Linked DNA regions of Caenorhabditis elegans. The protein of the gene in region 3 interacts with the protein of the main gene of each other region in a pairwise test. Each region holds a gene or a part of one and is shown on either strand. Other genes may lie near its edges. The genes, in order: dmd-6, egl-18 and nhr-62.

The links.
Region 1: the proteins of nhr-62 (region 3) and dmd-6 interact in a two-hybrid assay, tested with the Caenorhabditis elegans proteins (one large-scale study listed by BioGRID).
Region 2: the proteins of nhr-62 (region 3) and egl-18 interact in a two-hybrid assay, tested with the Caenorhabditis elegans proteins (one large-scale study listed by BioGRID).

What each region holds. Positions count from the first base shown.
Region 1 is NC_003282.8:14,613,892-14,622,922, reverse strand, and holds the start of dmd-6 (DM domain-containing protein), read right to left. Parts: upstream 6,321-9,031; 5' UTR 6,213-6,320; intron 5,860-6,212; exon of another isoform or gene 5,839-5,859; intron 5,754-5,838; exon of another isoform or gene 5,733-5,753; intron 5,568-5,732; exon of another isoform or gene 5,547-5,567; intron 4,917-5,546; exon of another isoform or gene 4,896-4,916; intron 4,790-4,895; exon of another isoform or gene 4,769-4,789; intron 4,676-4,768; exon of another isoform or gene 4,652-4,675; intron 4,548-4,651; exon of another isoform or gene 4,527-4,547; intron 3,790-4,526; exon of another isoform or gene 3,769-3,789; intron 3,726-3,768; exon of another isoform or gene 3,705-3,725; intron 3,512-3,704; exon of another isoform or gene 3,491-3,511; intron 3,473-3,490; 5' UTR 3,469-3,472; coding exon 3,250-3,468; intron 3,196-3,249; coding exon 3,066-3,195; intron 2,742-3,065; exon of another isoform or gene 2,721-2,741; intron 1,400-2,720; exon of another isoform or gene 1,343-1,399; intron 907-1,342; coding exon 833-906; intron 415-832; coding exon 181-414; intron 62-180; coding exon 1-61.
Region 2 is NC_003282.8:1,911,440-1,919,008, reverse strand, and holds egl-18 (Putative transcription factor egl-18), read right to left. Parts: upstream 5,564-7,569; 5' UTR 5,538-5,563; coding exon 5,412-5,537; intron 5,367-5,411; coding exon 4,836-5,366; intron 4,325-4,835; coding exon 4,079-4,324; intron 1,886-4,078; coding exon 1,649-1,885; 3' UTR 1,171-1,648; downstream 1-1,170. Other genes in the region: Transcription factor elt-6, read right to left, coding at 341-457, 892-1,032. UniProt on the Caenorhabditis elegans protein: Probable transcription factor. Involved in embryonic development and in vulval development in larvae, acting redundantly, at least in part, with elt-6.
Region 3 is NC_003279.8:9,837,440-9,845,712, reverse strand, and holds nhr-62 (Nuclear hormone receptor family member nhr-62), read right to left. Parts: upstream 6,116-8,273; 5' UTR 6,105-6,115; coding exon 5,858-6,104; intron 4,717-5,857; coding exon 4,590-4,716; intron 3,024-4,589; coding exon 2,965-3,023; intron 2,271-2,964; coding exon 1,479-2,270; intron 1,425-1,478; coding exon 1,219-1,424; intron 1,123-1,218; coding exon 1,006-1,122; 3' UTR 910-1,005; downstream 1-909. UniProt on the Caenorhabditis elegans protein: Orphan nuclear hormone receptor. Required for metabolic and physiologic responses associated with dietary-restriction-induced longevity.

The DNA.
Region 1 (9,031 bases), on a different chromosome or scaffold from region 3:
TCACCTTCTCATCAAGTGACATCTTCTTTGCGGCGACAACCGGGATGTCTGGCGTGTGAATCTGAAAAATACATGTATGAGAAATGATGAATCACAATTAGGCTAGAAAAGGGTGATGTCGACGGCTCGCCAGAACCATAGATCACTCTCTAGAACTCTCTAGAAAACTAGACAACTAACCGTTGGCGGAGCAACAAATGTGTGAGCACGCTTCCTCATTGGGCCAGGTGATGGAGATCGGGTGAATAGTTCAGGCTTTGTGAGTCTCTCCTCTTCAAGCCTCTTTCTCTCTGATGCACACTTGGCCTTCCAAATATCATAGGACATGACTGTCATGTGCCCAAGTGAGCCACTTCGTCCTTCAAGACCATTAGCTGTGGGCATTGTGGAGTTGGAACGAGTGATAGGAGTCGTCTGAAATGGAATATAGTTGAGCATGAGATTGGAAATGAGCTCAAGAGTATGAGAAGATAAAGTAATAACAGGGCTCGCGCACCTGCTCCGCCTATTCTGACAAAATGTGAGCGCCGCTGCGTGAGGAGGGAGCCAGAGCAGCGTGCGAAGAGAGAGAGAGAGAGAGAGAGCGCATGCTTTGGAGCAGGAGCAGATTAAAAACCATAAGATCAGAATTTTCCCTCTCTCACTGGTTCTGTCGTCGACGTCTTCTTCTCATGCAGCTGTTAGGTCAAGGTGCGCGTGAGAGCTATGAGCAGACTAGAATATTTTCCTAAGAAACCGCGATTTCAGAGAAAGAAAGCCAGCTAGCTATTGACAGATGCCTTACACATATGAAGTGCAAAACAAGAGTCTAGTTTAGGTGGAGAATACTTACCGATGAGGTTCTCGTCTCCGAGTCCATGTCTGGTGTTGAAGTTTTTGAGCAGAATGAGGAACGGCGGGAGAAGCCTGAAAAGTTTCGAAATATTGAATTGGAACATATTGTGTGTGTGTATGTGTTGGAAAAGAAGAAAATGGAAAGTGTTTCGCGTTTCACTGCAGAATGAGAAACAATAGAAAATCGAATGCATCTTTCTTTCTCTCGGGGGGCCCCGAGTGTGGGTATATAGGACAGGTACTAGGTGCCGGATAAAGATCAGTAGAGGGACACAAGGGTTCCGTACTTGGGAAAGGAGTCTCGCACTGGATAATGCCGCCGGCTTACGACGGAGTGAAATGGGAGACGAAACATGTTGAGAGAGAGAGAGGAAGAAGAAAGAGACGCGAATAGAAATTCGGTGATCTTTAAATCCTTCACTATTTGGTGCGACTGGTGTGTTGCTCACCTTTTTTACATTATTTTTTCATAGTCTGTGTACACTTACTCCCACTGATTCAGTCCTATTAGAAAAGAGAGAGAGAGAGAGAGAGAGAGAGAGAGAGAGAGAGAGAGAGAGAGAGAAATGAAAAAAAATGTATATGAAAGAGCAGCACACCAAAACACAGGGATCATACGTAATGTGAGCTAATGTGATTCACCATTTGCCTACGTCAACGCCATTTTGATGATTTCTAATCTCTATTCATTTATATGTAGACATCGAAAATTGAGAACAAGAAAAGTGACGGAAATCTGTTTACAGTCGAGCCGGCGGCTCCAGACACATACTTGGAATTTCTATTTCTGTTTGGCCAGCATACGCGCATACGTGCTCAATCTAACCATCGGTCAGCGGATATTCAAATGATAATTGCTATTATTTTGAACTGACACGAGATATGTGCCAACCGTCGTGAGTCATTGAGACACCAAAGCATAACTTTGTAGACAGATAAATTGAGTGGGAAAATTGTGAAAAATGAAAAGGAGAGAGAGAGAGAAAATAATTACGTATAATCAAATGCAAAAAGATCGTAGACGGGCTGCATAAGGGATCAAACCAGGGAGCTAAAACTCAAAACGGAAGACGTTCCAAGGAGTTTAGCTCAATTTTTTGAAGACAGAACCGAAATTATAATACATAAAAATGAAAATGAAGACTAGACGAAATGCCTGAAATATTCGCGAATAACAGAAGAGACAGTCGTCCTCGGGAGGCTGGGCACACAAACACATACACAGAAAAGTGATTGTGTACTGAAAATGTGAGCGCCTTTTCGTCATCCTCTCTGTGTGTGTGTGTGTGCCTTAAAATGTGAAAAAACGTGGAAAAACGAGAGGACGATGAGAACCGAGTAGACTAGTAGTTGCGAAAATCAGACAGGGCAAACGAGAAATAGTACAGATGTGATGAGAGTGTGCAGACGCAATGAGAAAGAGTGCAAGGTCCTGAAGCGACCGAAGAGAAGGGATGAAAGGGGGGGGGGGAGGAGGAGAAAGAGTTGCTGGAATGTACTAAAAACAAGTAGATGGCGAATGAGCAAAACAAAAAGGTCAGTGGAGGGTTCGAGTCGATCAGGACACACATTTTTGTATATATCAAGACGACGAAAACAAGATTCGTAGATTCGAGGGATGGAACTAGGAAATAGAATTTTCAGCGATCTAAGAACACTTGTTCTGAATATAGAATTTTGTTATTGCGGCGTTCCAAAAGTGCGACGAATTACACTGGAACGATCAGAAAGCGCAAGAATCAGGTGATTTTTGTAATGGTATAAAGGAAAAAAACTGATAACACTATCAAAAGATTAGTCTAGTACCGGTACCTACAGTCTACTTTTTTGCAAAAGTTGGGCAAATAGTTGCTTTGTTTTTGAAAAGTGAATGTCATGGGATCGAATTTTGTAGTAAACTCTTGAAATCAAAAGATCATGTCCTTTCCAAAATATCTAACAAATATGAAACATCATCGCAAACTCCAAAATAGTTTTGAAATAACACTTGATCTTTCAGTGGTTCTGCTGTCTACGTTGTTAGTCATACAGAGATTTTCGATCGCGTACGAGAAACGAACAAAACAACCGAGTACATTTTTGTGGAAATCTAGACGGAAGTTATGCATATTTGTGGGGGAACTAGGGAGTAAGCGCCAAAACACAACTGAGAAATCAGAGATCTATGGGTACTATATGGATTCTAATTTGATAGTGAAGGAGTAGGAGACAGAGATCAGGGAAAAGCTCACCTTCTTCATCGTCAACACTGGATCCGGATTCTGGAGCATGTCTCTTTGCATTCAGAGCTGCTGCCAACTCGATCTTTTCCTTATTTCTCTTGTTGAACGACTTCAGGCGCTTGTAGTTTAGCTTCTCGCACTAAAATTTGAAAATTTGAAAACAAAATAGCTCCCAGACTCTTCTAGAACTTACCGATTTGCAATTGCACAGAATATATGGGCACTGTGGTGAGTGATTCTTGAGGATCACCTTCTCGCCGTGTCCTTCGCACTTTCGGCAGTAAAGGATGCGTCCCTTTGGCTTTGGGGAGTCCATGTCTTGGGATGATGGAGAGTAGTTCTCGTTGCTGCGGTGATGATGATGATGATGCTCGTCGTCGATGGTTACAGTAGCGATGATGTGTGGGCTCATTTTACTGAAAGAATTGGGAATTTGAGATATGTACGGAAGGAGAGCAAAAGATTTTTCAAAGTAAGACTTCTTACGAACAGCGTGAAACAGGAATTCTTTTAATTTTTTAAGTTTAAAATATGTGTAAAAAACAGACCTCTAGAAACAGAAAATTGAAATATTAAAAAATTTCAATAAATTTTAAAAATTAGTGTTTCAAAACTTGAATATTCGTTGGCTAGTTATGATTTACATAATGAAGCTCCCGAAATTTCGAAAAAAATCTAATTGTCTTACTGAATTTAATGATTCACAGTAATTCTGCTAGATGCACACAGCAAATTGATGCAACATGATCACTGTATAAACTTGTGAAAATAATGAAACAGTAATTTTTCTTCAAGACATATATATTCCAAGAGTACTACAGTAATCCACAAGAGCTTAACCTTAGCTAACCTAAAATCATGAAGACTGATCAGGAATAGTGACAAAAATGGAGGAGGAGCTCCAAGGGTCAAAGCGGAAGTTACAAAGGGACCTACAAGAGAGTAAGAGAAAAAAATATGTAATTTCTTTTTTTTTTCCCATTCGAAAAAAAACACACTCGATGGGTGTGTGTTCCAGCTTCCTCGTTCCTATTTTTCCAGTCCCTAGTGGTTCAATAATCACATATGCGGGGAACACACACACACAGGGGGGTGTTCGAAGATCACTCGGGGTCTACTAGTCTGGGCTCGAAAAGCTCAAAAATTGGGTGAAAAACATGCTAACGCGAAGCAGCAGAGACACTGGAGAACACAACACAAATTGTGATCTAGAACACACACAGAGAGAAATAGATGACCAGGCGAACGGAGCACAAAACAGAAGAAGCAGAACACGGAAATGAGAGGATGGTTGTGCAAAATAAGTAGAAAATATCTAGAGGAAGTAAATTAAGACATTTTCAGACAAGGAAATAAGCGTTTAGATGGAGATAACTAGGTTACTGTAGATGATTTTTGAAAATTGGAATTCTTAATGAAAATTTACTGTTTCACAGAAAATGTTTAAGAGTTTTAAAACTGGAACTGTAATATTTATGTGATTCTATTAGTAATAAAAAAACTCACATCAGTAAAGGATTTGCAAAAATTTTAAAAATCGAAAAAAAGTTACTGTTTCACGGAAAATGTTTGATTATTTCAAAGTAGAGGCATACTACTTGTAGAACGACAGGAAAATTACGGTTTCAAATTTTGAAATTTAATAACACTTTCACTGTAAATTTTGTGAAATTTGGCATATGAATTTGATTACTGACTAAAAATAACAATTTACTCCTAATAAGAAATACAAATCAAAAATTATGTTGCGGTTATGTATACGTAAAAATTTAAAAACAGTGAAATTTTTCACTGTTTCAAAATATGCATTAAAAATGTTGTGGACTCTTTTTTTTTTGCTATTACCAACGAAGTAGGTTCATCATTTTTCAACAAAAAATATTTATGTAGATTTTTAAAATCTTATTAAAATTTTGAATTCGAATTTTTGAAATTTCAAATTTTGAAGAAAAAAATTACTGTTTCAAAATAAAAATATGAAAAGTTCACAAAGTTCAAAGTGCTTTCGACAGAATTTAAAAAATATAGAAATTAATACAAAACACATCAATTCCATAGGTACAAAGTTCCGTAAGTTCGGTTCTTTGTTGCTCCTCCTCTACTACACACGGCACACAGAAAATGAACATAAAATTGGGCGGTACAAAGTTTAGGCGGGGTGTGCAAATATTTGACCTACTCTCCACCTCCTCCCACTAACCGGGTTGAATGACTGAAGAGGTCGAAAAGTGTGTTTTTGATCACAAACTTTATCATCATCATTCTGTGACTTTTCCAGAGAAGAAAAATCTAGAAAAAGTCAAGAAAAATGATTCAAAAAAATAGGAAAAATAAGTGATCAAAAAACTGGAGTTGGGGGACCCGCAAAAACAGAGAACACAACCGCCAGACAAAACATTTCTTCTTTTTCTTCGTCTCTTTAAAGATCGCCGAGTAAATTGACAACAAAAAGCTCAAAGTTTCAGTGTTTTTCTCTTTGAAGCAGGAACAAAAATTTTCAGCTTCTTTTCAGCTGAAGCTCAAACTTTTTTAAAAGAAAAAGACATTGTGAAACAGAAAAGTTCCCATTTCTTGTAAGAAATGACTAACAAGTGACACGGCAAAAAGTGAAAGAACTGGCAAACACGTAGCCTTTGTAGTCTACAAAATGTGTCTACAAAATGTACAATAAGGTGAAACTTTTAAAGAAAGAATAGAGCAAACACTTAAAAAAAATGGAACTTTTTTCAAAATTTTGAAACAGTTGAAAATTTTTTAATCAGAATAGTTTAGTTTATTGGGACCAATACAGGGCGATATCATAGCAAAAACAAACATTTATTTGTGAATTTCAGAACTTTTTGAAACAGTAAAATATTTTTGAAACCAAAACTTTGTGGTTGTCAGCCAAGCTACAAGAAGCGACGAAAATTATTGCAATTTTCAAACTTAAGTTTTGTTTATAAAAAAAAACAATGCTCTCTGTGTAAATTTCAAAATGTTTTGAAACAGTTAATTTTTTCCAAAGTCCAAAATTTTGAATTTTTTCCGTTTCCTCCGCCACGTCATTTGCACTAATTTTGTGCTTCCGACTAACATTATACAAACATCTTCACCGGTTTTCCTAGACACCTCAAGTGGCTAAATATGTTTGCAACAAAAAAAACACGAACTTACCAATGACCAGCTCCACAAAATAATATTTTTTTTTGATTGTTGAGCCACACGAGCTCCAACCAAAAATGGCTTCTTTTTGATGATTTGGCAATGAAAGTGAGATGAAGTCTGAAAAAAGAGGAATTTCTTTAAAAATTTGCGGAGAAATTGTATAGTAAATTGGAAAGAGAGAAGCCAAAATTGTGATTTTTGAAAAAATTATGGAAAAGTTTTGCATACGAAATCTGTTTAATACGATTATTTTTCACGTGCGCAGAGGGAACCGAAAGATTAAAAGTATATATGGAGAGAAAACTGTCGGAAAATGTTGGACGAAGTTTAATCAGTGAGGTTTTGTTGAAAAGTTTAGAAGAAACATTTTTGAAACAGTGAAAAAAATTTCCAAAAAAAAAAGAGTACAATTAGAACCTGTAAATTGAAAATTTTAATCAGTGATTCTTAATGCAGAAATTCGATCACGTTTTCATCGAAAAAGCCAGTTTCCACGCAGCTTCAGATCCCAATCAAAAACGATCCAGAATGAAGTGAAGATGAGGAAATGCAATGGAAGGGAATAACGAGTGTATTAAACTAGACACAGTTCGTATTAAGGGCGTATGTAGGAGTTTCAAGGTAGAAAGAGGCCGAAGCACGGGAGATGAATATCTTGAGGGATTTTTTGGGAAGTTTCTTGACTGTAACAGGAAAAAAAAGAACCGAAGTTATTGAGAAATGAAAGTTGAAATTAGGAACATGCAATTTTGAAACAGTATTTTTTTTCCGAAAAGTTAAAATTGGTCAATTTTGGCGGGAACGGCAGTTCAACAGATTTAAATATATATTTTAGCGAAATTTATATTAACATTCCAAACAGGTAACAAATTGTGAAAAAAGTTTAGGTTTCTGGCTGTAACAGGAACAAGATGCGACCATTAATGAGAAATCAAGCTTGAACTTAGAAAAATGCGGAAAACAAATTTTTTTGGAAATTTTAGTTATTGCAACTGCACATAAAATTGTTATATTTTCCAGCGACATGGTTTATATTAAGATTCAGAACAGTTAAATAAATTGGAAATAAATTGGATTGAAAAATTGTCGAAAAAATCACCGTTTCCTTATAATAAATTTTAAAACAGTAATTTTTTTTTTTGGAAAACTTAAAATAAGATCGGATTTCGTTAATTTTTCAGTTAATTTCTCACCAACTACACTTACTACAAATACTGAATTCTTGAATGTACGTGTGAATAAAGGTTAGATCCGCCGAGTTAGATAAGAAAAACACGGTAAATGCAGAAATCCCACATTTGAACGGATTCTGCTGCTGGAGGTGGAGATATCGAGTCACAGAATGTTCATTGGGATCTTTCAGAACTACTACTAACACTTGAAACGGCGAGGAATTTTCATGGAATTTTTGAAACAGTGAAAAAAATTTCCAAATTTTAAAAATTTTTAAATTTTGACATTCAAACTTCGAAAGTTAAACTATTAATTTTTATTTCTTGATTTCAAGTTTTAAGATTTACTTCTTAAACTTCTATCCAGAAAATTGTTACTGCTACAAACTACGGCCTACGGATACTACGGATACTACGGAAATTACGGATATTCAATTGGAACTGATGTTACTCAAAAGATCCGTGATCGAGATACAGCCGGGCAGGCGGGGGGTCGCTATGATTTTTGTTGTTACTCTTATGCAAGTAAATTGCACTTTTCTGGCCCCACTAAGTAGCTCACGCTTTTGTAGAGATCAAACGCCCTCCCTGTAAAGGCGTCACATCTCGAAAAATACATGGAGGAAAAGCTGCTTGTGTTGAGATTATGATCAGAGAAAACGATGTTGAACAAGAGATCGCAGAATTTTTTGATTGGAACGAAATAGAATGAAAAACAACTGCGAGAAATATTTTTATAGAATTTGAAAAAAAAAATTGAAAAAAAATTACTGTTTCAAAATTATCACAAAAAAAATTTTGTTGCAAAATTTTTCAGTATTGAGTTATACGTCGGCAGAAAACACTTTAAAATCAAATATCAAGTTTTCTAAGAATTCACAGAACATTGTAGTCTCCAATCATAGTGCGGAAATAAGTAAAGCAGGTGGAAATTATCGAGAAAACTGAACTTCAAACACATATAACTGAAACATCAGTATCTGAAGTTACGAGATTAAAAGTTCGAAATCCTCGCCTCTTATGCTACCGAATGAAGAGATAAAGAGAACCGACATGTGCCATCAATTTGTGGGCGGAGCCTAAGGGTTTCCCCCAACTGGAAATCGTTGAATGAAATGGTGAAATGATCAACGTTTGATAATGCGATAAATCGAAGATCAGCAGACGACAAACATATAATGGATGAAAACGTGATCTTTTGAATTCTCAATTTTATAAATACTCGTTGTCATTGACAGACCCATACATACTAAGGGATGATATGGCGGCGGGATGGGGGCGGAGTTTGATCTTTCTCCAAACTGTATTTTTGTTAGTCAGCCAGAGGAGACAACATTGTAAATGTTCTTTGGAGGGTGGGCAAGCGGCTTTTAAAAGTATATTGGAGCCTACACTTCTAGTTCTGCGAATTAATTATACGTAGGACTTTTAACATATCACGACTACGGCCCCGCCCCCTCTTCATATTTTGATTTTTGGATTTTTGGATTCAATTAAAAATGGTGAATGCGAGATCAAACTTGAGAGCAAAATAACAGATGTGCAGCTTACAACCGCCTGCGCCAAAATGGCGTCAGTTTAGCTTTCTATTCGAAAAAAAAAATTTTGAAACTATTTACTGTTTCAGGAAAGTGACAAAAGTTTTTGGCATTTTGA
Region 2 (7,569 bases), on a different chromosome or scaffold from region 3:
CGTGCTGACGTCACATTACTTGAAGAAACAAAGAAAATCCCGCATTTTTTTGTAGATCAAACCGTGATGGGACAGCCTGGCACCACGGGACACAGCAGGAAGTTATGATCAACGTGGATGCAAAAATAAACAAGTTTCTTGGGAATGGCTCAGAATCGCGAAAAACTGAGAAAATAACTTTAAAACAGATTCAGTTTCTTTCTCGAAAATTGTCAGGCGGCGGGAAAATGCTGCGAAATAAGCTCAGTTTCAGCCCATTTTGGCTTATTTCTAAAGTTCCACCAGCTCCTTCCCGCAGAACTTTTGCAACATGGCCGCTAAAAGTTGTCAAAAATCTCACCTTCTCCTCGCTTCCGCTCTCGGACATTTGCTCAAGCAGGACTTTTTCCTTTTCACTGATAAGAGCTTCAAGCCTTCCGCACACTTCGTCAATTTTCGACATCATTTTTGAAACATCCTGTAAGAAAACGAATAGACCGGAGCTTTCAGCGCGGCGATTCAAATTCCTAGAATTTCAGAAATTCTCAATGAAATGAAAAATAATTTAATGTTTCTGGTAATCCGAGAATTACTTCATGTATGCCTGCCTATCGGCATTTGGCTCTAGTTGGCAATTGGGCAAAACTTGGGCAAAACTTGGATTCAGGCTGCACCAAAGTTTCCCCCAACTCTTACCAAACTTTGGTCCAAAATTTTCTTTTTTTTAGTTATACTTGGGTAGAAGTCTGACCAGATTTTAGTTTTGCCAAAGTCTTGCCCAACTTTTGCCCAAGTTTAGCCAGCTTCTTATCCAAGTTAATATTTTTTAGGCCAAACTTGGGCAAGAAGCTGGAGCCAAATGTCGAGAGTAGGCAGGCGCGTGAGCCTACTGCTAAACAAAATAATATGCACCTGTCGAATATCCTTGTGAAGCTGAGCGCATCCGGTGCACGCTGCTGCTGTAGTCGCCGTCTCCTCAACCCGATCCTCCATCTCCTCCTCCACCTCCCGGCTCACCATCTCATCCGGCATCTCCTCCTTCGACGACGTCATCTGTAAATCACGTGTGACGTTGTTTTAGAAGAAGAAGAAGTGGAGAGCGAGAGAGAGAGAGAGACGGAGAGAGACTGTGGAGCGAGGGGAGAGTGCGAGAGAGCGAGAGGACGAAGTTAAAAGCTAAAAGTGATAGAATGAGATACATACGTTTATCCGTCAAAAACCACAAGAGATAAGGAGAGAGAGAGAGAGTGAGATGAGATTTTTTCAAAATAAATATGAAAATGCAAAAATGATGATTCAAGTGAAATGACAAAGTGGTGGGAGGAGGTGAATATAACACAACCATGCACAGAGAATTGGGGGAGGGGCCTCCTGCAGAATGGGGCGGAGCCTAACTATTATTATAAGTTGTCGGAGGAGGAGGTAAAGCTCACAGTCGGAAACACGCGGTGAAGTTGGGGGAAATGGGGCACAATTATTATTAGAAAATTGGCGGAAAATTATTTAATACTGTATTTTTCTGAAGGGGTAATGGAATGATGAAGGATTGCTTATTAATCAATAATACATTATGGAGAATTTCAAATTTCAAATTTCAATAAATAAGAAAAATTACATAAAGGTATTGTGCATAAAAAGGATGTGAAGGGGGAAAAAATAATAATGATAATTAAAATGTGGCACTGCTATTCATGAGCTCTTGAGCCTGCGTGAATTGCGAGATTTGCTCGAGTAAATTGAATGTGTTGATGGCTCCATCAGTGCTCACTCCGCCGGTCGCCATCGTCGGCATTTGTGTGAGGAGTTGGTTGAAGATCTGTGTTGCCGCCGACGACTCTTTTTCCTTGTTCTTTCGGCGGTAGCGTTGTTGGATGTGGTTTTTGCGCATTTCTATTGGTCGGCGAACCTGGAAATTGGAAAATGAATTAGTTGTTAAGGTGGGAAGGATCTGGGTGAGCTTTTGGAAGGATCCTTAGGCATTTAGGAGCTTCTAAGAGGGGGGGGGGGGGTACTGTGAGGATCCTTAAGATCCTAAGTATCCCAGTGTGGTTGATCGCCACAATCGATCGCGCAGAAATCCAAGCAGCATAAGGGTCAGAATTATCTTATCAAAGGATTCTGTAGAATTGTAGATTTTCCCAGAAAATTCAGATCTCAGGATATCGGTGGAAAGATCCTTCGGATAGATCTTCGCGCTGGTAAATTTTAGAAGGATCCGCAGATGATGTGAATGTTCTTACTAGAGGCTGTAGGGGATCCTAGCGATGGAAGGATCGGAAGGATCGGAGGTCTCCTTTGGCTTAAGCTTCGATCTAAAGACTTCCGGTTGTTCTAGCATATCAAAGAATTCGTTGGGATCTCCATTATCACCAAGCTTCTGTCCTAGATAGCCTCACCGGATCCTAAGTCAGATTCTTGGATCCACCTGTCTCCTAATCAGACATCTGGTCTGTCCGGTCGTGATCGTCCCGTTTCCTGCACCGCCAATTATCATTTCTCCCAATTTCATAACCTTGGCCATATTAGATACACACACACACATCCATCTAAGGGCGGAACGTTCTTCTCAATTTGCACACACAATAGAGACAACAATAGGGGTGGTGGTGGTCTTCCATCTTCGGAGACGGCGGCGGGGTGGGCAATTAGGGTGAGAGTGAGTGTACGTGTATCAGCAAAAGGAGGGGGGAGATACAAAGTGGTGGTGAGAGGGGGATCACTCCGTAATTGCCGAATTTTTGATCCAGTGGAACTAATGGAAGGTCTTCTTGGGTATGGATCAGCTGATCTTACACCTTACACCGGAATCTTGAGGATCCTCGAATCACTGGAACCAATGAAACTTCTACAGATCATCAGAATCTTGAGCGATCGCCTCAAGATTGTTGGGATATCCTTGCTAGGTTATTCTCTGATGTTCCACCTCGGGAATCATCGACCTATTCCAGGAAACAGTGAAGCTCTGGTGCTTCTTAAGATCCTCAGAATCCTCAGGATCCTCCCTACAACTACCCCCGCCGCCAAAGTTTCGATATGGATTGGCGTGCGGAACCAAAAAGTCATTGGTGATGATGATGACGACGTTGAGGCTGGATTGTTTGCGCGCGCACGCGTGCACTAGTTTCATCTCCCCCTAATTGTCGGTGCCGGTGGTGAACAATAAGACGTCGTCGTCGTCGTTTCTTCTCCTAAAATGAATAAGAAAAGGAAGAGGTGGAAAGTCTATTCGAGTTACAGGTAATCATTGACTCGTCTCCTTCTGCGGCACGCACGCCGCCGCCGCCGCCGCCGCAGCCGATACGCTAATTATCGAGGTGGAGACGACGACGATGACGACGACCACATAATGGTTGAAGTGATGGAAATTGAAAGAAAGGTAGATACTGTATCGATGATGATGGAGATGATGATGATGATGAGGTGGAGAAGGTGGAGGTACTGTACTTTTGACCTACTGGGGTGGTAGAGTTCGAAATTCTTGATAATGCGGGGATCTTCAACAAGAACCAAGTAACTCAGAGCTTCTGATAAGGATCAGGATCGCATATGGGACGATCAGATGATCTGAAATCTTCACCTGAAGCCCAGGATTGCCAGGCTAAGAGGGTTATCACAGGCTCTCTGGCCTATCTAGGATCACCAGGATCCGAACATTCTCCAGAACGATTAGAGCAGCTTTAGAACCTGGATAGAGCGAATCTTCAGCCTTCAAGGATCGGCAGGACCCGAGAACCTTCTGATAAGATCTAGGATAGCTTGTGGAGCTTAGATCTTAGAGCCTTTAAGGATCAGAAAATCCTAATCTAGCCAAACTGACCTAGAAATCGTCTTCGGATCAATATCAGTCGCACAACTAACACATAAAAAGTAAGAAGACGAAGAAGATGGAGAAGAAGAAGAAGCTAATCTCATATTTCAATCTCCCCTCTCCTTCACTCCTATTTTCCCCTCATTTTGCCGCTATCTTAACTAGGTTGTTTCCTTCTATTCGCATCAGATAACAAACACTCTCTTATTCCCCCCATTAGAAGCTGTTACTGCTGCTACTCTACTGTCGCTGCTAATATCTTTCTGCTAATGAATAACACGACGAACAAACCTTGTGCAATCGATAGTAGAGCCCACACGGATTGCAGACAAGCTTCCCCTCGGCGTCACGTCGCCACGCGGTTGTCTTGTCGGTTCGGCAGTTGGAGCATCGCGCCGCGTTCGGATCACCACTCGTCTCGGTTTTCTCAAACATTGAACTGTCTTGGCTTTGGGATGATGGTGTGGCGACTGCTTCGATGACCGCTTGTACTTGGGATGATGATGATGGTGGAGATGTGGTGGAGGTCTGGAAGAACTGATATGTGATTAGGAGTGAATGTATTTATTGATTGATTGAAGGAGCTGCTGAAAGATCGCAGAGATCCTAAAGAACTCAGGGTGGATCTTAGAAGCTCCTCAAAGATCCTGAAAAACCCTAAAGCAGCTAAGGAGCTCTGGGAGGTTTCAATGGATCCTGGCGACTTTCAAGGGCTCGCTGGAAGTCCGCTGGAAGTCAGGGCAGCAGTTAAAGCTTGTCAAGGTGCGCAATGATCCTGAGCAACTTTGGGAGCTTCCGGACCTTCACAAGGGTTTCCCCAGAAGTAGGCTCCTCAAGGAACCCTGCGAACTCCGATCATAGAGCTTCGGGAACTTCTCCCCAAAGTTCTCGAAAGATCCTAAATCCAATCAGGATCCTAGAAATCCTAAGTGCAAAAAAATCGCGCAGCGGTAGATTTTCAAAAGCGAACGCCGCCTCCCGGGGTGATATATCTTTCCTTTGTTCGCCCCCCCCCCCCCCCCCCCTTTGGCCCTTCCTCAACACTTACCGCCTGTCCGTTGCTGCTAAACTGTGCTGTTAGTGCATCCAAAAGGTTCTGCGCCTCTGTAGCCGTCGGGATATCGGATCGCTCCGACTCTTCCTGTTTCACATCCTGATCCATTGGATCTTCAATTTTCACGGATTTCGATTGTGGTGGGCTCACGGATTGTTGATTCTCAATGTGCTGGTGGTGTTGTTGCTGCTGCTGCTGCTGTTGAACCATTGATAATAATTGCATCATTCCATTTGGATTTGACATATTCAGAGGATCAAACATGAATCCGTTCATCAAATTCGAAAAGTCTGGAAGTGGACTCGCAGCTGCCGGTGGGCTCCGCTCCTTGGGCTTCCGCTTCCGGGCTCCTGATACTGGAGCGACTACTGTCTCGACAAGCTTCGGAGAGCTCCTCGACTCTGCCGGTGATGGTGAGGCTTTTCCCGATGAGACCGATGAGCTTTTCAGCTCATTGTTCTCTTTGAGCAGCTCGTCGAGCCGATACTGAAGTTTGTCCATTCGCTCCATAACCATGCTGATTGTCTGGAAATTTTTTAATTGTTAATGGTTTTTTGAGCTCTAAATTACCTTTGCAACATCCTTCTGTAACTGTTTGCAACCACTACACGGCTCATCTGACGGCCTCTGGAGCACTTCGTGGTGTTGTTGCTCGGCGGATTCTGGTCTCGTTTCCGTCATTATGCTGATCGACATATAGACTGTGTGGAGACACTGCAAAAAATGGAAAATTTAGAGGGAAAATGTGCAGGGGAAGTAAAATATCAAGAGAGTACGAGGATAAAATTTTGACCTGAACAGAGTTGGGGTAGGGCTTAAAATGGGTGATTTTGGACTAAAAAACTGATTTTTCGGGGGACAATTTTATTTGAACCTTAAAATGTACTACTATGGAGGTACCAGAAATTGACGGCCTAAACGGCCTAAAATAGCCGTTTTGTATGGAGAATTCAGGCCGATAAATAGCTTAGTTTTAATTCTTAAAGGGTCAATTTTTATCAATAAAAGCCTATTTAAAAACTATTTGGGGCTAAAAATACGTAGCATAAACATAGGGATCTACTCAAAATTAGCAATTTGGAGATTAAATTTAAGCTATGAATCAGAAAAATGCGGACTATTTCGGCCTAAAATCGGCTTAGTTCAAGCTGAAACTAGACAAAAAATAATCAAAAATATAGGTCAAAACTTTAAAAAGGGAGGCCCTCCTTACTGACAAGAATGGACCAACAAGTAAATAACCATAAAATGACACTGATCAACGCGAAGAAAATGGGCGGGATATTGTGTGGAGAAGAACGCTACTCACCGCCCGTCTCCGCCCCTTTTCCCCCAGCCGGACAAACGTGGAAATTAGGTGGATAGGGGGGGGGGGGGGGGGGAAGAGGGGAGACGATTTGTTGTGTTGTTGTACGACAAATTATGCACGTAGTATCACCCCGACACTAAACCTAATCGATAATTGTAGATGTGCCAAATTTTAGCTTGTCGATAACGGAAGTTGTTTGGAACTGTGCCAAGTGTCAAGGAAACTCGAAATATATCAATTTTTCAAAATTGGTGTCTTTTTTTTTGCATAAAAAAGCTGGAAAAAAACAGATTTTGCCGGAAAACCGTTGTAATTTTTCGATAAAAAAGTGCTAATAATGATCCCTCCGAAAAATTCAGCTGCCCCGGTTCAGGTACAGCAAAGTGATGGCGTTTTGAAAGTCTCTAAAACACCTTATTACAAAATTTCCAAAAACAAAATTGGAATCTTTGCCATGTTTTTTTAAACATTTTTTTGATTTGCTACAATAGTTTTTATCAATTTAAAAAAAAAATTTTTTTTTTGAAAATTTGAGTTTCGGTATAGATTAAGGATGGGCGGCACATCGGCAAACTGCCGGAATTGAAATTTCCGGCAAATCGACAATGTGCCGGTTTGCCGATTTGCCGAACATTTTCTGCAAATTGGGAATTTGCACGTTTTTTTTTAAATTCTGAATTCCAATTTTAATCGGCAAAAAGTGTACGCATCCTTTTGAAAAGTAAACAAATTCTATGATTTCCGGCAAATCTTATGTACGGCAAACGGCAAATCGGAATTTTTTTGGCAAAAATTGCAACTTCCGGAAAATCGGCAAATTGCCGAAATTGAAGTTTTCCGGCAACTCGGCAAACCGGCAACTTACCGACAAAAAAATTGGCAAAACGCCAAGTGCCGGCCACCCATGGTATAAATGCTCAAAATTGGTCGAATCGAGCGGAGAAATCTGTGAAAAAGCTTTCACCGAGCCCTGAGCTAATATGCCAGGTAAAAAATCAAACAATTTTCCAGGACAAGGCTGAATTCTCAGCTAATCTCAGATAACACCTGCCGAGAACCTGTGTGGCGGTAACACCCTGGTGGTCCATCTGACAAGGAGACGATGCACCATAACCGGTCTAAGAGCCCGTAAACAGTGGTGTCCTAACACAAGAAACGATGAGGTGATGAGTCCGTGATGAGTCCGAACAAAGGAATGCAGTGGAGAATGTGAGTGTATGTGTGTGTGTGTGTGACGATGTTAGTGAGAAGATGGTAATCTTCAAACATTCTTATCGATTCGATTGGATGGCTGCTGATCAGAAGAGTTGATTGCGATCTTCTCTTCGAAACGAAGTCTCTCTCTTTTTGCCTCAACTTCTTCCTCAACATCCTTCCTTTATTTGGGCCGTCGTCACACGCGTGTTAACACCGAATCAG
Region 3 (8,273 bases):
ATGAATAACCTCTCTTGAGAGAACCTTTTGCTCATTCACAATTCGACCTCTTTCTTTAACATCTCCATTTCTTGAATACTATTTCTGCTTGTCACATCACTTATGCAAACCAGAAAGAGCAACATGTCACATTGAAAAGTCCCAGGAAAAAACTCGACAAATTGGGGTAAGAAAAGGCAAAAAAAGAGTCAAAACGGAATGCTAAAAGCATTTCTTCTCAGAGCCTTGGATAAAGTAAAGGAAAAAGAGAAAAAAAAAGAGAAAGCTGTAGTGGTCCAACCCTGTTAGTTTCCGGTTAAAGTAATGGAAAGGAAATGGATAGAAAGTGGACGAGAAAATGAATGTCATGACAACCTTGTTTTTATTTTTCATTCTTTCAAATGGTTATACATATGTATTTATTCCTTGTTGTTCATCACTTGAAAGTGAATACAAACAACAACAGGAGCACAAAAATGATAATATCAGCTAATTTAAGATTGGTTTCTTCCAGTTCGAAACAATACAATTCTAGATGATTAGGTTCACACTGTTCGTGGATTGAAACGTCCGCAATGTGTGCATTACGAACTGTCGTTTTCGTGATGCGTCCATACTGAGACAGTTTGCGTCCGTCGCAAATTAACTGTGTGAAAGGTTTCGGGAATATTCGTAAATGATAAAGTTTTGAAAAATCATGGAATGTTCAACAATTTCATTGAAAGAAAAATTCAATAAAGTTCGATGTAAGTCTGGAAGGTTCCCAAAGTCTTTGAATATTTCTGATGTTTAGCTAACTTAAGTTATAGACCATTTTTCAAAAAAAAAACCCAGTTTCACCCATAAAACTAATGAAATAAAGTATTTTTCATATGTTCTTATTGTTTTGTCGTTTATTTTTTTCATACAATCCAAGAAACAAACTGGAATATAAAACTTTATAAGCGTCATAATAATTATTCAAAAATAATTATATTAAGAGAATTAAAAACCCGTCGCCGTCTTCGACTTTTGAAATCCGAAAGTTCAAGGTGTCTCATAAGAATTTTGAATAAACTGAACTTCATGGCAAAGATATTCACTTGGCACAACGTGTAGGACCTCCATCAATTGAATGTTGTCAGAAGTGAGATACACGAGATTCTGGAAATATTATGACTCAGAACTTTGTGGACAATCTGGTTCTGCTAAACTTTGCAATGTCAAGCACATTGAAGCATTAATTCTTGAAACCCTTACCGTAGTCGCCGAGAGAAGAATCATCATTTTGGCAATTCGAACTGCTGCTTGACTTTCACTACTATTTTGTGTATCATCTCCATTTTCCATCGCCTCTCCATATTCTTTTGAGTTCACATGATGATGAAGCATGCGAACGAATCGGTTTCCAACCATTCGAACATGTTCTTTTCCAGCTGGTGTCAAATCAGCAAGTTCTGTAATCTCTGAAATAGAAAATTCAAATATTTCTAATCTACCAAGCATCATGCTCCACTTACCATCACTGAAAATGATAACTGCCAACATTAGAACAATTTCAGTTTCATCAAGATTCAATTCTTTAATTGGAATACTCAATGAGTCATACATTCGTCCACTTGATCCTTTAACATCAGGAATACATTGAGCTTCTGGTTGTTTTGGGAAATATGCTCCATTCGAGTAACATACTCCCTCACATCCTGCTTGTACAGTCCAATTTGCACACATCCACCAGTGAAATGTCCCGTATCGATTTTTGGCAAGAACAATTTGATCTTCAATTGACATTTGATTGTACTCAGGAAGAGCTCTTAACCAATCAGAGAAAAGTACAAAATTCCTTTTCCATTCATCCATTACATCTTTTACAGTTGCAACCCGTCTTCCAGTAATATCCAAAGGAGTTCTTGGACCAATCATTTCAGGATTATAGAATGCATTCATAAATGCGATTTTCGTTGTTTCAGTCTCCATTTTCATATCAAAATTTTCCCGTTTTGTCACTGGATCTACATAAGAACAAACTGCTCTATGCATTTCAACTATCTGCTCAGAAAGTTTTGCCATTTCCAGCTCCATACTTGGCAAAGGCGCGGAGTTGTTTGACGATGGTTTTTGTTCATCTACATCTGTTTGAATTTCAACAGAACATGTATCCGGAGACGACAAGTCTTTATAATCGTCCTCTTCAATTTGATTTGGCGATCCATTTTGTTCTCGTTCGACTCGTTCCGACTGGACAGCTCGTGGATTCATTCCGGCTACAAAGCATTGTTTCAGGCGACAGGCTCGACAAACGTTTCGATGTTCTGGAACATTGGGTTATTTTAAAGAAAACTGGGAATATTCGATAAATCGATATCAAACATTTGAAAATATTTTCAAATCGTATTTTCCAATATTTTGCTCTATGCTTCGGTATTTAAAACATTAGATTATTATACCGAAACGGACAGTCTTTGCAAATCATGCCCATGAACTGTATCTTTGTAGCCTAATAAAGGATAAGAAAAAAAAATAGTCACGGAGAGGATTGAATTTCCAATCATCCGATGATTAACTTTAATTCTCGAACATTCACACTTGTGAAACGACGAGGCACAGAATCGATCGTACTCTTTAAAGGTGCACTCGCTTTTTACACATCTAGAAGTTTCTGGTAGTGACGAGACCAAGTACAGTACATAATTCGCTAAAATTTGCGGCGGGAAAAAAAAATTTCCACAACTTTTTGAACTACAAAAACTACATCTTTTTTGTTCAAACACTCGGTAAATAAGTTCAAAATTTTGTTGTGTAACTTCACGTAACAGCACACATGAAGTGATCACAATATTTTGTGTTCGTCATTATTTGGTTTAGAAACGATTGAGCTCAATTTTGAGTTTCTAAATGAGCCTGGTTTAATTTGAAAGAGAACCTTTTAAATAGGTCCTTCAAAAAAGTTAGCCGCAAGGAGAAGATTGAACTAATTTTCGAGTTATTCAAGTCAAAACTGCTCACCTTTTGCAATTGCACATCGTCCCTCAAATCTACACAAGTATTGCCGGTTGTGCCAAACACTGCAATTAAAATAATTTTATTTTTTCAAATGTTTTTTTCCAGTTATTCATTTTTCATATTGTTATTTGCAGTATCATTGACACAAAAGATCATATGATCATATGAAAATAGAAAAGGAATACACATTTCGGTCTTGAGGAAACTCACGTAGCGGCGCAAAAGAGAGAGAGGGGGAATGGACAGATAAGGATCTTGTACAAAACCTGGCTAGATATCAATACACACGATGATTTGATATGAGTGATCAAATTGAACTTTCCAATTTCGAACAATTAAGAAATCAAATATAAAGTCTGCAGGAGTATGAACTGTATTCAATGAACTACAGTACTACTTGAAAACTACAAAAATTAGGAAAACATTCTATGAACTATGATGTTCCATTGTTCAATTTTGAAGAATTGTTAGTGTAAACATTCAAAATCTATTGCAAAAGGAAAGCTACGTTGTATCCCAAACTTCAAAATAAACTATTTGAACTTATTGAAAGTTTCACTCACAACTAATTCCCGAAAAGTTCGAAAATGTTGAAAATGGCCAAAGTTATCTTTGAATTAATTCAACAATTTAGAAAAGAAAAGTACAAAGTACTAGTAAATGACTGATCTTCTGATGTTCTATACCTTGTACATCCGGAGCCCGGAAGCAGGTAGCTGAGTTCCAGTTTTTGCAAAAAGTCACATACAATTGACGTCAGTGATTTTTTTCATGGAACAACAATAATTGGAAACTCACAAAAATTACAGACTCTCTCAATGTGACATTATATTTCAAAGAACCATATTTTATCTCATATCAAATATAGTCTTAAACTAGAGTTTAGCGCACTTTTCCATGACAATGTGTGTAGGAATTGAGCCAGTTCTATTGAATTTTGTAAATTCTAGCGTTAACGACCTATAAAATGAATTTTTGATCTTGTACAAAATGGCACACGAACACACTTGTAAACTGTGGTTTGTAGTTTGTTTTGTGATGGGATATAGCATTACCATATCTGTATCCATACTGCAGGCACAAAACACTTTAGTGATAGCAAACAACAAAATTTAACAGTTTCAGTGGAAAGTTAGGCTTAGAAGTAGGCTTAGGCTTAGACTTCGGCTTAGACTTAAGCTCAGTTCTATTTCAAAAGGCTGTGGTCTTTGTCACATCTATTTCCAAACCTTGCAATCAGTTTAGAACCTACACGAAGATTATCTTTCTGTGCTCAGAAGAGTGTCTTATCCTTTTCTAACACTTTCATAATCCGCACATATCCAAAAACTCGGGAAATAAATTTAAAAAACTTTCTGTTCCGTTCCCTGTCACAATTATCCTATTCAGTGTTCAATTTGGCCAATTGTTTTGAATCAATGATCTCCTCATCAACCCATCATTTGATCGTTTAACCTTTTCCGCCACCTCATGAATATTTGTATATACAGAGAGACCCCCCTTCTATCCTCTACTGTCCATTGTTTCTTCTCTATACTCTCTTTAAAAGTCTTTCCCGCACCATGCGTGAGAAGGAGAATAAGGGAAAAGAAGTGCAAAAATCAAAGGATCAAGAGATCATGGTTTACCTTCTACGAAAGAATCCTTTGCATCCATTACATGCATTTACGCCATAGTGTTTTCCAAACGCTTGATCCCCGCAGACTACGCATACCAGGTTTATCGTCGAGTTCTTACGTCGACCTCTTCCATGTCCTGAAACAATTGATCTATTGAGCTTTTGACTATGAAAGGTGGGGTACTAGAGTCTTGTTGGCCTATAAAGGACACGATGCCCAAATGGCAATACGTCATGACAGTAACTACAAACTCCATCGGGAAGGCAAATTTTTTGTTTGACTAGATGATTTGGACATGATAATAACAAGCATGTTTCTGCTTGCAAAGGAGGTAGAACGTGTAAGATTAAAATTTTTGCAGAATTCTTCTTTCTGATTTTTGAACGAATTTATCTTAAATCCAGAAGGATAAGGACTATTTTATGTTTTCTTGTAGGTTTTGCAAAAAAATCCGTTCAAGAAAACAATCTTACAAAAACAAAACTATGTGGTTTGAACTATTTGTGTCTTTACACAGAAAAACTACAAGTGGTTATTGTTTGTGAAACATCAGTTTTTAGTAGTTTGAACTTCAGGAATTGAAGACTCGACTAATTGACTTCTAACATGATCTGATTGACATATATATATATATATAGTTACAGTAACGGCAAATATAACGTATGTTCAGAATACCGTATTTATTTTCATTTTAACATCTCTTTTTTTTTGACATCTCAATCAGCGTTTTGTCGAAAAATTAAAAAAAAATTTTAAAAATATTGTTCTACTTTAATATAGTTGAAAAATTTTCAAAAAATCAAAGACAACCGAGATATAAACTAATTGCCTTTTTGAAATTACCACAAGTTGGTCGATTTCTAGAAAAAATTATACTGTGCCTGAAAGCAGAGGGTACATTTTTTGAGCTTTCAGATTTAAAAATCCCCATCGACAATTTTTCGAACAGTTCCACAGGTTTGTTTCCTTGATCTTTCTGTGATATCATGATGTAAAGCACAATCTTTTTTTGATGTAGGAAAGCAAAACATGATTTGAAATTTCAAACAAAAAACCAATAAAAACTTTGCAGATAAAAATTGTTATTTTCTCACCAAGTTTGCTGCAAACATTTGAGTCCAAAGAACAAAAAATCAGAAACGTTGTTCAATAGAACCTTTAAAGAATTATTGAAAAATAAAAACTAATAAGAAGCATTAAAAATTCATAAGAATTCGCTGCAAAAAGTCCATAGAACGAAACAACTAAAATCACAAATCACAAGTCACACAGCTAACCTGTTGTCGTATGATGAGCAGATGATGTTGATGTGTGCATTGTTACAGGTAAAGCTTGATGTTGGTAATGATTGAATGTTGGAGTTGTTGGATTGAAGACACCCGGATAAGTGGCACCTAATGATTGTTGTGTGGTGGTACTGATGAATGTGACAGGACTTGGTGCGATTGCAGTGGTTCCCTGTCCGAAATGGACAGCGTGCCGTAGAATATCGTCAATGGCGCTTGGTGAGAGAGTTGAGAACATTGTAGATGAATCTGAGAGAATTAGAGTAGTCAAGATGAAGAGGCGGAGTTTAAAAAGGTAATCGAGAAGGTGGAGAAGATGGTGGGAGGAGGTGGAGACGGAAGCAATCGGAAGCAACTAAGAACGTGAGCAACATTTTGATCGGATATGAATGGGCGGCGTGTGATATGAGAACGGAAAATCATGATCGTCTGACCAGAGTTCTGTTTCGTAAGCTGCGTCTATCAACGAGATGCAAGAGGATTTTGTAGCCTTTTTGAAAACTATGCAAATAAATATATAAGAGACACAGGATATAAAAGGAACAATACAATGTTTGAGAGGTGAGACCTCTCTTCGGACTGTTTTGTCTTTCCGTATGGACCAGAGCACATAACAACATTGTTTCAATGGTCACGGCTAATCAAACGACACTATAGTTGAAATGCATGACGTGGAAATTGAGAGAGGAATACCTTGAAATGCAAGGAAGCAAAAATGATTTTCGGAAGAGGAAGCTAGTTTGTGTGTAGTCTACAGAGTACAAATACTACAGATACTACAAATACTAATCACCAGAAAAAGTTTTCAGGTTTAGGTGTTGTTTAGCAAATATCCTTCTAGCGTGCACTCTCTGAAGAATCTTAACTACCAGGTCGAGGCGTGACAGGGGCGCTTCTTCCCTAAGGTAAAAACTGTTTTCCAACTTTATGCAAATTTTGCAAATTTTGATTTAATTCAGGTTGAGTTTATATCTCCTCACAATTTAAAGTTCGAGTTAGATCTTCTCGCTCGGGAACGCCTTTGAAAAATTAAATTGCCGAAAAATTGCACGCAAGGGTCGGTAGGGCGAAACGAGGGCGAGTTAAAGATTCCCCTATCAGATCTCTCATGCACTCTCCACACAAATGTACGTTCTGAGCTACTAGTAATTAATTAAAGGAGATAATAATTGAAGGTTTTGTTTATTGAAGCCCTGAAATGCAATTTTTTCCGAATTAAAACAAAAATCAGAAGGTTAAAGGTGCATTGACATTTAAAAGTTTTCAGATCTCTGACGCAAAGTCAAGAATTCGAATCAGTTCAATGAAACAAAACATCATTGTCTTTTGACAAAAATCATCAAAAACTGTGTTATCAGTAGCTCAAAATGTTAAAGAGGTGTGTGTATATGTGTGCAATACTAATGCACCTGGTATCATTCATATTTGAGTTCTAATGTTTGGAGATGATGCCCTCTTGCACCAAAAGATCAAAAGTTTGAGATTTTATTATTATTTTCTGAAATATATGCAAATGTGTGTCTAGCAAAAGAATATGTGAAGGATTAAAAAGATTGCAAAATCAAACATTCAAAAGTTTTTTTAAAAAATGTTAAAATCGCATAATTGTATAGTCTTCCTAGTTGCTTAGCTATTTGAAGGTTTTTTCTATTATGCGGTTATTTTTCATATCAAAAGTGCATACAAATGTAAGCTTTTTTGGATACTTAGGTTAATGGAAACATTTTTTTTAGAAACGTTTTCCATGAGTCTTATTTCTTATTAATAAAAATCACGGAGGGCTTCAAACATGCAGTAATGCATCTTCTCAAAAAGTCAAAAATGTTCTCAAAGTTTGAGGGCTCCAATACTTTGGCTAAAACAATTTTATTGTTAACTTTGTTGTCTGGTATTTTTGATATACTTTTGAAATAGTTCACCTTGTCGCTTCCCTGATTGTGAGTTCTCAATTATGAGGCACAAAAGTCTAGAAAAAGTGAGCAAACCATGTTGTATCTTTACGATAGCTTGGTCAACTAATCCAGGTTTTAAACTGAGCTGTAACCGGTTCTCTGTTGTTACAATTTGTTGGAATTATTCAAAAATTAGTATCCTCAATCGTAAATCCTCAATCAAACAATTGGAATATGTATCTTGTGCTGATCCATTTTGAAACTACGATCACTGTCCCCATTCTCCTGTACACAAATGATGACAAAAAGTGGTGCGCGGGGTTTGGCAGGAATCATCTTGTGCCATAAGCTTTGACTACAAAACATATACAGGCACAATGACACATTTTAACGTAAATCACAAAACACAGTTCAAAAATTTCAAATATTCGTATTTTAAATTTTGGCAACTTGAGGCTTCAAAAATGTATCAAGGAAAACAAAAGATTCAGATTTTTCCCAATCAGAAAAGTTTA